Arabidopsis thaliana: one gene and its partner. The protein of the gene in region 2 purifies or fractionates together with the protein of the main gene of each other region. This does not show direct contact. Each region holds a gene or a part of one and is shown on either strand. Other genes may lie near its edges. The genes, in order: AT5G64670 and AT3G01790.

Region 1 (4,580 bases), on a different chromosome or scaffold from region 2:
TCTTGAGATTTATAATCGACTTTTTTCTTGGGATCTATCGATTTGTTTTAATGATAACCAATAATGTCTTTGAAATGTCTATTGTGATTTGTCAATGTGATGGACCAAGGTTGCATCTAATTCTATAGCCATTTAATTTATTTTGACATTAAACGTGACATTTATGCCGGAAGGTGATCATCAATAGGTACATAAGATCAGAAAGGTGTGATCAATAGAAGAAGATAAACAGAAACATTTTTAAAATATAGTGTATGATATTGAACTGCACTTGATTTTAAACAAATACGTAATGATCATTTTTAAAGACAAATAAACCGATCTAATTACATATTTATTTGATAATAAAATACCAATCGAGTACTCTTTTTTTTTCGTAGTTATTTAATATAATCAATGCTATAATTAACAGTACAGTACTCATCATTACATGTTTGTTAAGAGTAATGAGTTCTGAAACCTCGAAATCTATCTTCTTCTTCTTTAATCACGTTCGGTTGTTCAAATTCAGACAATCATAGCCCCTTTTCGATAAATTAGGTAAATTTCGCACATCGTTTTGGTAAAATAACACTGCAAAAAAGGGACATAATCTCATAACCTATATATTTGCAGTTGCAGATTTTAGCATCTTTAGTCAAAAAAAGCAAAGTTACCATTGAACTCATTAACATTAACAACGCCTCAACCAAACCGGATAATAATGAATTCAAATCTAACGTGATTGTTCTCTGGTTTTCTCAACCTTCTACAAGAACAGGCCTTGATCCCAAACAACAAGTCTGAAAATGGTTGAATAACTTGTTGTGGCCAACTACAGATAAAGTAAAACGAGAAAGACCTTATTTGTCAAATTAAAATCCGACATTCTCAATTTTCTAGTGGTGAACATTGACCAAGAAACAACACAAACAACTTAAACAGAAACATCAAACGTTAAATGGCAGCCCAAAATTATGATTCAACAGGAGATTCAACTTTGGTCTCCTCAGCTGCAAAGAAGGGAATGGGTTTTTTCGGAGCTGGAAGACGTCCAATGCTATCAACCTTATCTTGTTGTTTAGGAGGTGGTCGCGCTGCTTTTGGCAATAACCTTCCTTTCTTCTCAAACCATTCCGGTTTAAGCAATGCCCTTAAGCCCAACTTGTTGTAATACACTCTTCTCACTGATCCTCCTGCTGCTTCCACCACCTCTTTGGCCCTAACCGTCACTCTCGAAACCTGTAATAAACACGCTCATACCGATCAACTGAACATCTAACTAAGCAAATACATTGACTGGTGCAACGGCTCTAGAGACTACAGAGCAAAAGTTAATAACGCAAATGATAAACCTCGAAATGAAGTGGCCATTTGATATCATCAGCACCACGACCCATTAGTCTTACTCCATCTTCTATTTGCTTTCCTATGGCTCCCACATCCTGCAAACCGACGTTAATGTGTTCAGTAAGAATCAGACATATTAAGAATCCTAAACTCAATTTAAACCGTTGAATCAAAGAGTGAAGTATGACCGAACCTTGAGCGTTTTCATTGTAATCAATTCATGAGAATCTATCTTCCCAGCGTTTATGAGTTTAGCAATCTTCCCTAGACCAACCGGCTGCATCACAAAACAATCATAAACATCTTTAGTCGCTGCATCAATAGAGTGTCAAATCCTAAATCCTTACACACACAGTATAACCTACTTCACCACAAGCAGCTAAAGAACAGCAATAATGGCATACAGAAAGAAGAACAAGAGTGATCCATCTGATTTAGATTCTCAAATTCGACCTAATCTAAGGAATCAATCACAAATGTTAACCCTTCGAATCAAGGGAAGCTACAAAATCCGAAACTTGACCTCAGAAATGAAAATCCCAGAACTAAAAGGCACAAGCTTGAACCTGAAAATGGAGCTTAAATTTGTTCTTGAAGCCACGTTTGGGTAAACGACGTCGTAGTGGAGTCTGACCACCTTCGAAACCAAACTTCATCGTTCCTCTCGCTTTTTGCCCCTTGTGACCTCTTCCAGCAGTTTTACCTTTACCAGACCCAATACCTCTTCCTTTCCTCGTCTTGAGTTTTCTCGGCACATTGTCTCTCAGATCGTTCAAGCTCAATAAACTATAAGCCCTGATTCCTTGAAACGACAAAGCCCTGCTCGTAGAGGTCGGAATTTGAGTAGAGATCGGAGAAGGACGGCATTGAAGAAGTGGTGAAGAAATGATGAATCTGGGTTTCGCGGTTTGATGAAACGAAGAATTGATGAGTGATGTTGATATGATCGACAAGAGTCTTCTTCTTAACATTTCTTCGTTGCGGGATCAAGTAGATTTCGATTTTAGAGATCTCCTGATGAAATTTTGATTATTCCATTTTGGGGATTTAGGGTTTATGAGATTTCAGTGAAGAGCTACTGAATCATCCATCACCATTGCTTTCTTCTTCAGTACTGTCACTTAAAGGCCCATTATGGCCCAAATGTCTTTTCCACCCGCCAATTCACTAAACTATGTCGTTTTGAGTGAACTTCAAAATAAAATAAAACAGAGAAATAAATTGGGAAGGGTTTTAGGTCATCGCCGAATTGCTATTTCTCCGGTAACGATTCTCTCTCTTTTCCGCCGCCGACGAAGCCATCTTTCTTTCTCTTTAGCTTTCTCGTTCCGATTTGCATCCAGTTTCTTGATTTTTCTAACTAATTTATGTCTTTTGAAGAGATTTATAATTGCGATTTTGACAGAGTTTGAGTTTGTTCAAAAGCTTTGTTTATTATATATGTTAAAGCTCTCGCTATATTTAACACTTGTTTTCTCGATTTTGCAGGTTTTGTGAAATCGCGAGAGCTGATTTGAGCAGAGATGGATTTCGATTTCAAAGTTTCCGGAGATTTCATAGTCAGTGGCGCAGAGCAGCTAGATGACACTGATTTGACGCGTTCTGATGAGTTTTGGCTTATCCAAGCCCCTTTAGGCCAAGTATGTTTAGAGAATGATTCTTTATTGCAAATTTGATCCTCATGTAATGTTCTACAGCTAAATGACTTTTCTTTATCGCAGTTTCCAGAAATCGAAGAGAACACTCTTAAGATTGAGCCAGACAAAGATGGGTTATTTGGAGAATTCAAGGATTCAAATGGTATGTTTATGTTTTGTGTTCTTTCATACTCTTTAATATTTTAGTTTTGATCTCCAAAAGCTGGCTCATTACACCTTTGTTTAGGTGCAAAGTATGATCTTGCTAGCTTTCATTCTCAAGATGCTGGTGCAGAGTTGATTATACCTTCTGAAGAATCAATGATTGGTATATTCCCATTACTTTACAGTTGTGTCTTGTTTAGGTTTTGGTCGTTCAGTTTACACAGTTTTGTTTTACCACCTGTTTCGTTAATAATGATTCTTCTGTTGTTGTTCGTTTTATGATAGTTGGGAAGATTACTCGGCGAGTTGCATTAGTTCGTTACCCTGAACCAAACGAGTTGCTTCAGAAAATGAAGGCTAGAACACAACAGAAGCTTGTCGGATCAGTGACGAATTCCTCTAAGAAATCATCTAACCTTACTCAAAGCAGCCGGCATAAAAGCGGCACACGTAGCAGCAGAGAGAAGAGCATGTTCTCTGGCTTCACCGAGACTCCAAAGTCGCCAAAAAGAAAAAATTCAGAGTCTTCCTCAGGTAAACATCGGAGCTCAACAAGTACGGTTTCAGGCTCTTCAGAACGATCAGCAAAGTCCAAGAAGAAGGTGAAGAAGGAAGAGTAAAGATCTTTGCTCCTGTTTTTTTCAAAGAGAATGTTTGTGACTGTTAAGATGTTGAATTTCGATTATGCAGATGATAAACAGCCAGTAATGTATTCAAATTCATAAGTTATTTCGCCGTAGATGCTTATAAAAGTTCAAGCTTATTAGCTACCATGGAACAAAGTAAAAGTAAAATACAGCTTTTCAGCTATGTTTGTTGTTCTTTTGTCTTCAAGCCTCTGTGGTTGGAGTTGTTGCAGAGTCTTGTGATATTGGCTTCCATTGTTGCGGAGTTTGAGCTTTCGTTATCGAGAGAGCATGGATTTCTTTCATCTCTTCTTCAAGAGCAGCGTTCACAATACGGTGCCTCTCGAGCAATCTCTTCCCCTCAAACTGTTCCGAGATAATCTCAACCACAAAACTCGCGCCACAGCTGGGAAAAAAGGGTAAAGTTTAAATTGAAAACTGGAGATGAGATGTCAAAGGTCGATGATTGAATAAATGGTATAGTGATCATAAGACTTTACCCTCCAGATGTGTCGATGACTTCCTGGTTTTACACATGAATTAAACCAAGTCAGTGATGTTGTTATAAAGAAATAAGATCACTTATGCCCAAACCACATAAGTGAGTAGTCATGTTAATATGGGCTAACCCACCCCAATTAAACCCACCCCATTTAAAGTGACAATATCATTTCCATAGCCATTTGCTTTATATCCTCATCATCACAAGTGACGTACTTCTTCAATAGTAATTCAATCCTCCATACTTGGGTGAAGTATACATTCGATGTCGGATACTTGGAACCTGAAATATAAGTAGTGATTACACTAAATGGCTTCAACA
Region 2 (5,222 bases):
AAGCAGAAGAGAGGTTCAAAAGCAGAACTCGGAGAGCCTGTGATCTTAAGATGTCAGCCTTACAAGATCCCACTGACTGAGCTTCTTCTACCGCACAAAATCTCACCAGTCGAGTTCTTTCGTTTGTGGCCTAGCTTGCCAGCTGTTGCAGAGTACACTGGCACATATATGTATGAAGGAAGCGGCTTCATGGCGACCGCCGCACAACAGTATGGGGCTTCACCATTTTTAAGCGGACTCAAATCATTATCCTCGAAGCCATTCCACAGAGTCTGTTCCCACATTATACGCACAGTTGCTGGCTTTCAGGTGAACTTGGTTCTGTTATTCTTCTTGTTCCTTAACTGGATTGATGGTCTGATAAACCCCTAACTTGATGTCACTACAGCTTTGTTACGCTGCAAAAACGTGGCATGGAGGTTTTGTGGGTATGATGATCTTTGGCGCTAGTGAAGTGAGCAGGAACATGGATCTGGGTGACGAGACTACCACCATGATGTGCAAGTTTGTGGTTAGAGCATCAGAAGCATCAATCACAAAGCAAATAGAGTCGGATATTCAGGGATGGTGTGATGATCTAACTGACGGGGGCGTTGAGTACATGCCAGAGGACGAAGTGAAGGCAACCGCGGCCGAGAAGCTGAAGATCTCTATGGAGAGGATAGCTTTGTTGAAGGCAGCTCAGCCGAAGAAGACTTCAAAGATAGAGGAGGAATCAGAAAACGAAGAAGAAGAAGAAGGAGAAGAAGAAGATGATGATGAAGAAGTAAAAGAGAAAAAGGAGAAAGAAGAGGGAAAGGACAAGGAAGAGAAGAAGAAAAAAGAGAAGGAAAAAGGAACATTTTCTAAGCTGACAGCAGAAGAAACAGAGCACATGGCGCTTCAGGCAGCAGTGCTCCAAGAATGGCACATCTTGTGCAAAGATAGAAAATATACCAAAGTTAACTAAGAGCGAGAGTACTTTTTTCTCAGATGAAGCTACAACAATCTTTGTTTTCTTTTGTTGTGTGTGGTTTCTTCGTAGGTTTAGATGTTTTGTATTGTTGTTGGTGAAGAAAAGAAACAAACCAAGGATGTTACTATTGCCCTTTTTTACGAATTCTTCCGTCTTATTCACAAATTTCACACGTTTATGGAACCAAGGATGCATTTACCCATTTTCCATCAGTAACATTCTGTAGTCATGCAGTGTTTGGCGTGAGATTGCTCTGTTTTTTGCAACGAAGAAAACTGAAAGATAACCAGAAACAGATCCATGTTTAAGGAAGATGGTTTTGGCTTCATTTGTGATACAGTGTTTGAGATCCAGAAACAGGTTTATTGTCTGAGAAACAAGAAAGCCTTAAAAGCTTATCCACGTCTGCATTATGAACTTTGCTTACAAATAAAAAGACAGTCACATCACTAGCTTTCCTCTGAAGTAATTCCTCTACGCAGGTACTTCAGAGAGGGTCCTCTTCTTTCCTTTCTTTACCTCTGTTCCCTCATTTTCTGCCTGCTCTGCCTTCTTCTGCGCACGGATCATTGCTCGCCTTGCGCGCGGTCGCATCTCTCTAACTCTACGAGGCGGCATCACAAATGGCTCAAGTGGCTTGTCCCCAAAAGGATGCTCACCGCCTTCAAATATCCTCAGCTTCCGATCCCTGTCCTATACCCACACAAAGCAACAAAACCTCAGCACATTCTTGTTTTAAGCAACACATCCTAAACTATGCGAGCAATTCATTTAGGAGCTGAGAAGCGAGAATGTATCAGTACAAACAAGCCACTATTCCCACCAAAGATAAAGGACAAATAACAAAATGGTAAAACCAAGAGTTCAGAACAATCTTCCTTCCAAACCTAAATGATTTTCAAAACAAGGGTATATCATCTCATTCGATAAGACCGATTTGTGAGGAGAGACAACCTTTCTAGACATAGGACACCAAGAATCTCATTCCACACAACTCATGATGGATATCAACAAGTAAGAGTAAAGCCAAGGTGTGGGGTAATATCTGTAGCCAGAAAGTCAGGGATCTAAAAGACTGAGGATTCAGGTGATTAGAAAATGTTTCAGTTTATAGTGTACTCACATCACGCAAATTGTTACTTGGAAGCATGCGCCAGACAGCCTTACGAATGACCTCTGTGGGATCTTTGGCCATCTGATCTTTCAGACTCCGTTCCTTCAGGTGTCCGATGTACCTACAAAGAGAGATTAAATAAAGTAGATGAAAATGGGAGATACTAAAAGATATGATAAAACACTTGTAGTAGCTGAAGATTCACAGGAGCATTAAAAGAAAGAGTGCAACTTGCCCAGTATGCCAACGGTAGAATTTGTCAGTGAGCTTTCTTCCTGTGAAGCCGATTTCCTTAGCATTGAGAACAATACAAATATCGCCATCGTCGCGGTTAGGACAATAAGTAGGCTTATCTTTGGCTTGAAGCACGGTTGATATCTGGGAAGCTAGTCTACCAAGAACCTAGAGTAGACAAGTTATATTCACAAATGAAATCCTAGCAATTCAATTCAGATTTAATACAAAGACACAACAAAGATAAGGCATCCTATCTAAAATCTGGAAATGTTTGCCACTGTAGTCATGTAACTAACCAAGCATAAGAAGAAGAAAGTGGTAGAAGAAAGAGAGAGTAGATTGGAAGAGAGGTAGAAGAAAGAAAACCTGGCCTCTGGCATCAAAAACACGCCAACGAAGACCGTCGAGATTGATACGCTTTATACCTGCCACAGCTTTCTGCACAAAGACATACTCAAGATCAGCAACAAAACATAATACAAAGAGTAGATTGGAAGTTTTTTTTTAATAATAGAAAGGGGTCCATTTTCGAATAAGTTTGTAGCATCTACTCAATTTCTAAATTGCATAGCATAGGTGTGACACTCTCTGACCGTAATGGAGAATAGATGCAATGGGAAGTGATCATTGTTCCAAATGATTTTAAGTAGAAAATGCATAACACGTAGAAGAAGACCTAAACGTGGGAATCGCTCACTGGTTGATAGTAATCTAAGGTGATTTGGCTAAAACTGATCAAAAAGCTGGAGATATGGAAGGAAGAAGTAATCATTTTATACCTTTAAGTTGCCCTTGAATGAGGCAGCAGCAGCAGCCTGAGTCGCCATCGTTCTTCAGCTGTTTGTTAGACAAAAAACAAAAAACAAAACTGAGAATGTGATTTCAGTTATACAGATTCGTATGGAGAAGTCTGCAACGAATTGACCAGAATCACCAGAGAGATGACTCACCGGTTACCGGAGACAGTGCCGGAAGTGACAGCGGCGGTGGAAATGGGAAGATCTAGGAGGGAGCTGTATAACAAAGGGTTTTAGAAGGCGGAGGGCTATTTTGGTATTTTCTCATTAAAAGAAAAGGAAATGACTTTATATATGAAGGAAACTAAATTTTTTTTATTACATTTCAGTCGTCGATTCGAGGTCGAGGGTTTTAGCTCTATACACGGAATCAATCAAAAGGTACTTGTTTTTCTTGCGTGTCTTCCTCCTTAAACCTCAGAAAAGAAGAAGAAGAAGAAGAAGAAGAAAGTTGAAGTCTTTAGGGATGATGGCTATGTTCGTGAGACGAGCTCTATCTAGTCGTAACGCGATTGGGTTTCTCAGAAGAAGCTCCGTTGTTGTTCAATCTCGTGATTTCTCCTTCATTTCTTCACCCAATCTCATGATGATGGGAGGCCGAGATCTGCAATTCGATTTGTCCATGCCCGATTTCCTCAGAGATTCTCGTCGAGGCTTTGCAAAAGGCAAAAAATCAAGTATGTTGTTTATTCCTCATTTCCATTTATCAATCACTCGCTCGTGAATCTTATTAACATGATTTGTAGACTTTTCAAGTAGAGGGATTGATAGATTCTTCTTGTACTAGTTGTAGTTGGTATCAAAAGAGTTTCTTTTTTCTTTTGTTTTTTGTTGTATGAACAACGGCATTTCTGCCTTCTTCTTCAGAGGACGATTCAGGAACAGGGATGGTCGACGCAGCTCCAGATATCGGACCTACCGTGAAAGCAGCAGCCTCTTCTCAAATGGAGGCAGCCATTGATGCATTGTCCCGGGATTTAACTAAATTAAGAACCGGAAGAGCCGCTCCAGGTACTTCTCACCTCTTTCTTTCGGGTTTAGGTTAAGCCTCTCTGTGTCTGTGCTTATTGTGTGCATTTGCAGGAATGCTTGATCATATTGTTGTTGAAACGGGAGGAGTAAAGATGCCACTCAATCACTTAGCTTTGGTCTCTGTCTTGGATCCTAAGACTCTCTCTGTCAATCCTTATGATCCCGATGTATACTGATTCTTTCTTTCTCTTTTACTAAGAAAAACTTCGACTACATTAGAGTGTCATTTTTCTCCAACAAGCCGCCATTGACGCTTTGTTTGTCTCTGCAGACGGTCAAAGAACTTGAGAAAGCAATAGTCGCGTCGCCATTAGGATTAAACCCGAAACTGGATGGGCAACGACTGGTCGCATCTATCCCAGCGTATGAAAGTTCTTCTCTGTCAAATTTCATTGTTTATCACAGCCGTAATTGACTGACTTTGTCTGATTTCCGCTCTATGTTTTTATTTCGTGAGCAGATTGACCAAGGAGCATATACAGGTAAAGCATCCAAGTCATGTGTTATTGTTTAGTCACTGAGGTTGAGCCTTGACCCTATCTATCTATATGAACTCCAGGCAATGTGCAAGATTGTTACAAAGTCCAGTGAAGTTGTCAAACAAAGCATAAGAAGAGCGAGGCAAAAGGTAGTATGAATGGTGTAGAGCACAACCATAGAAGCTGTTTGTTGTAAACTCTCTCCTACACGTCAGAACATCTAATGATCAGAGACTTTTTTTTTTGGTCAGGCACTGGACACGATAAAGAAAGCAGGCTCGAGTCTACCAAAGGATGAAGTAAAAAGACTGGAGAAGGAAGTGAGTGTCATTGTATGATCTTTCTGCAAATATGCATCCTACTTCAGTTACTGAAAATAATGGCCTTTGTGTGAACAGGTAGATGAGTTGACGAAGAAATTTGTGAAGTCAGCAGAGGACATGTGCAAGTCCAAAGAGAAAGAGATCACCGAAGCCTGATTCATCATTCCTATACATCACTAGTCTTTTCACGCTACCTTGAAAGAATCTTTTATTCATTACCAAGATTTGTTTTCAACTTTTGAATGTTTGATTTGGGGATCTTGGAACTGCAAGAAAATTGATGAT

Evidence for each region.
Region 1: the proteins of AT3G01790 (region 2) and AT5G64670 fractionate together in Arabidopsis thaliana (co-fractionation; one large-scale study listed by BioGRID). This does not show direct contact.

The regions. Positions count from the first base shown.
Region 1 is NC_003076.8:25,851,581-25,856,160, forward strand, and holds AT5G64670 (Ribosomal protein L18e/L15 superfamily protein), read right to left. Parts: upstream 2,488-4,580; 5' UTR 2,301-2,487; coding exon 1,896-2,300; intron 1,607-1,895; coding exon 1,523-1,606; intron 1,425-1,522; coding exon 1,335-1,424; intron 1,222-1,334; coding exon 955-1,221; 3' UTR 661-954; downstream 1-660. Other genes in the region: AT5G64680 (mediator-associated protein), read left to right, coding at 2,853-2,969, 3,051-3,129, 3,190-3,294, 3,417-3,751.
Region 2 is NC_003074.8:282,451-287,672, forward strand, and holds AT3G01790 (Ribosomal protein L13 family protein), read right to left. Parts: upstream 3,355-5,222; 5' UTR 3,257-3,354; intron 3,175-3,256; exon of another isoform or gene 3,144-3,174; 5' UTR 3,134-3,143; coding exon 3,086-3,133; intron 2,745-3,085; coding exon 2,673-2,744; intron 2,472-2,672; coding exon 2,305-2,471; intron 2,191-2,304; coding exon 2,079-2,190; intron 2,001-2,078; coding exon of another isoform or gene 1,914-2,000; exon of another isoform or gene 1,649-1,913; coding exon 1,430-1,648; 3' UTR 950-1,429; downstream 1-949. Other genes in the region: TPLATE (ARM repeat superfamily protein), read left to right, coding at 1-309, 389-949; AT3G01800 (Ribosome recycling factor), read left to right, coding at 3,570-3,780, 3,971-4,114, 4,187-4,302, 4,407-4,498, 4,596-4,617, 4,695-4,763, 4,866-4,934, 5,013-5,093.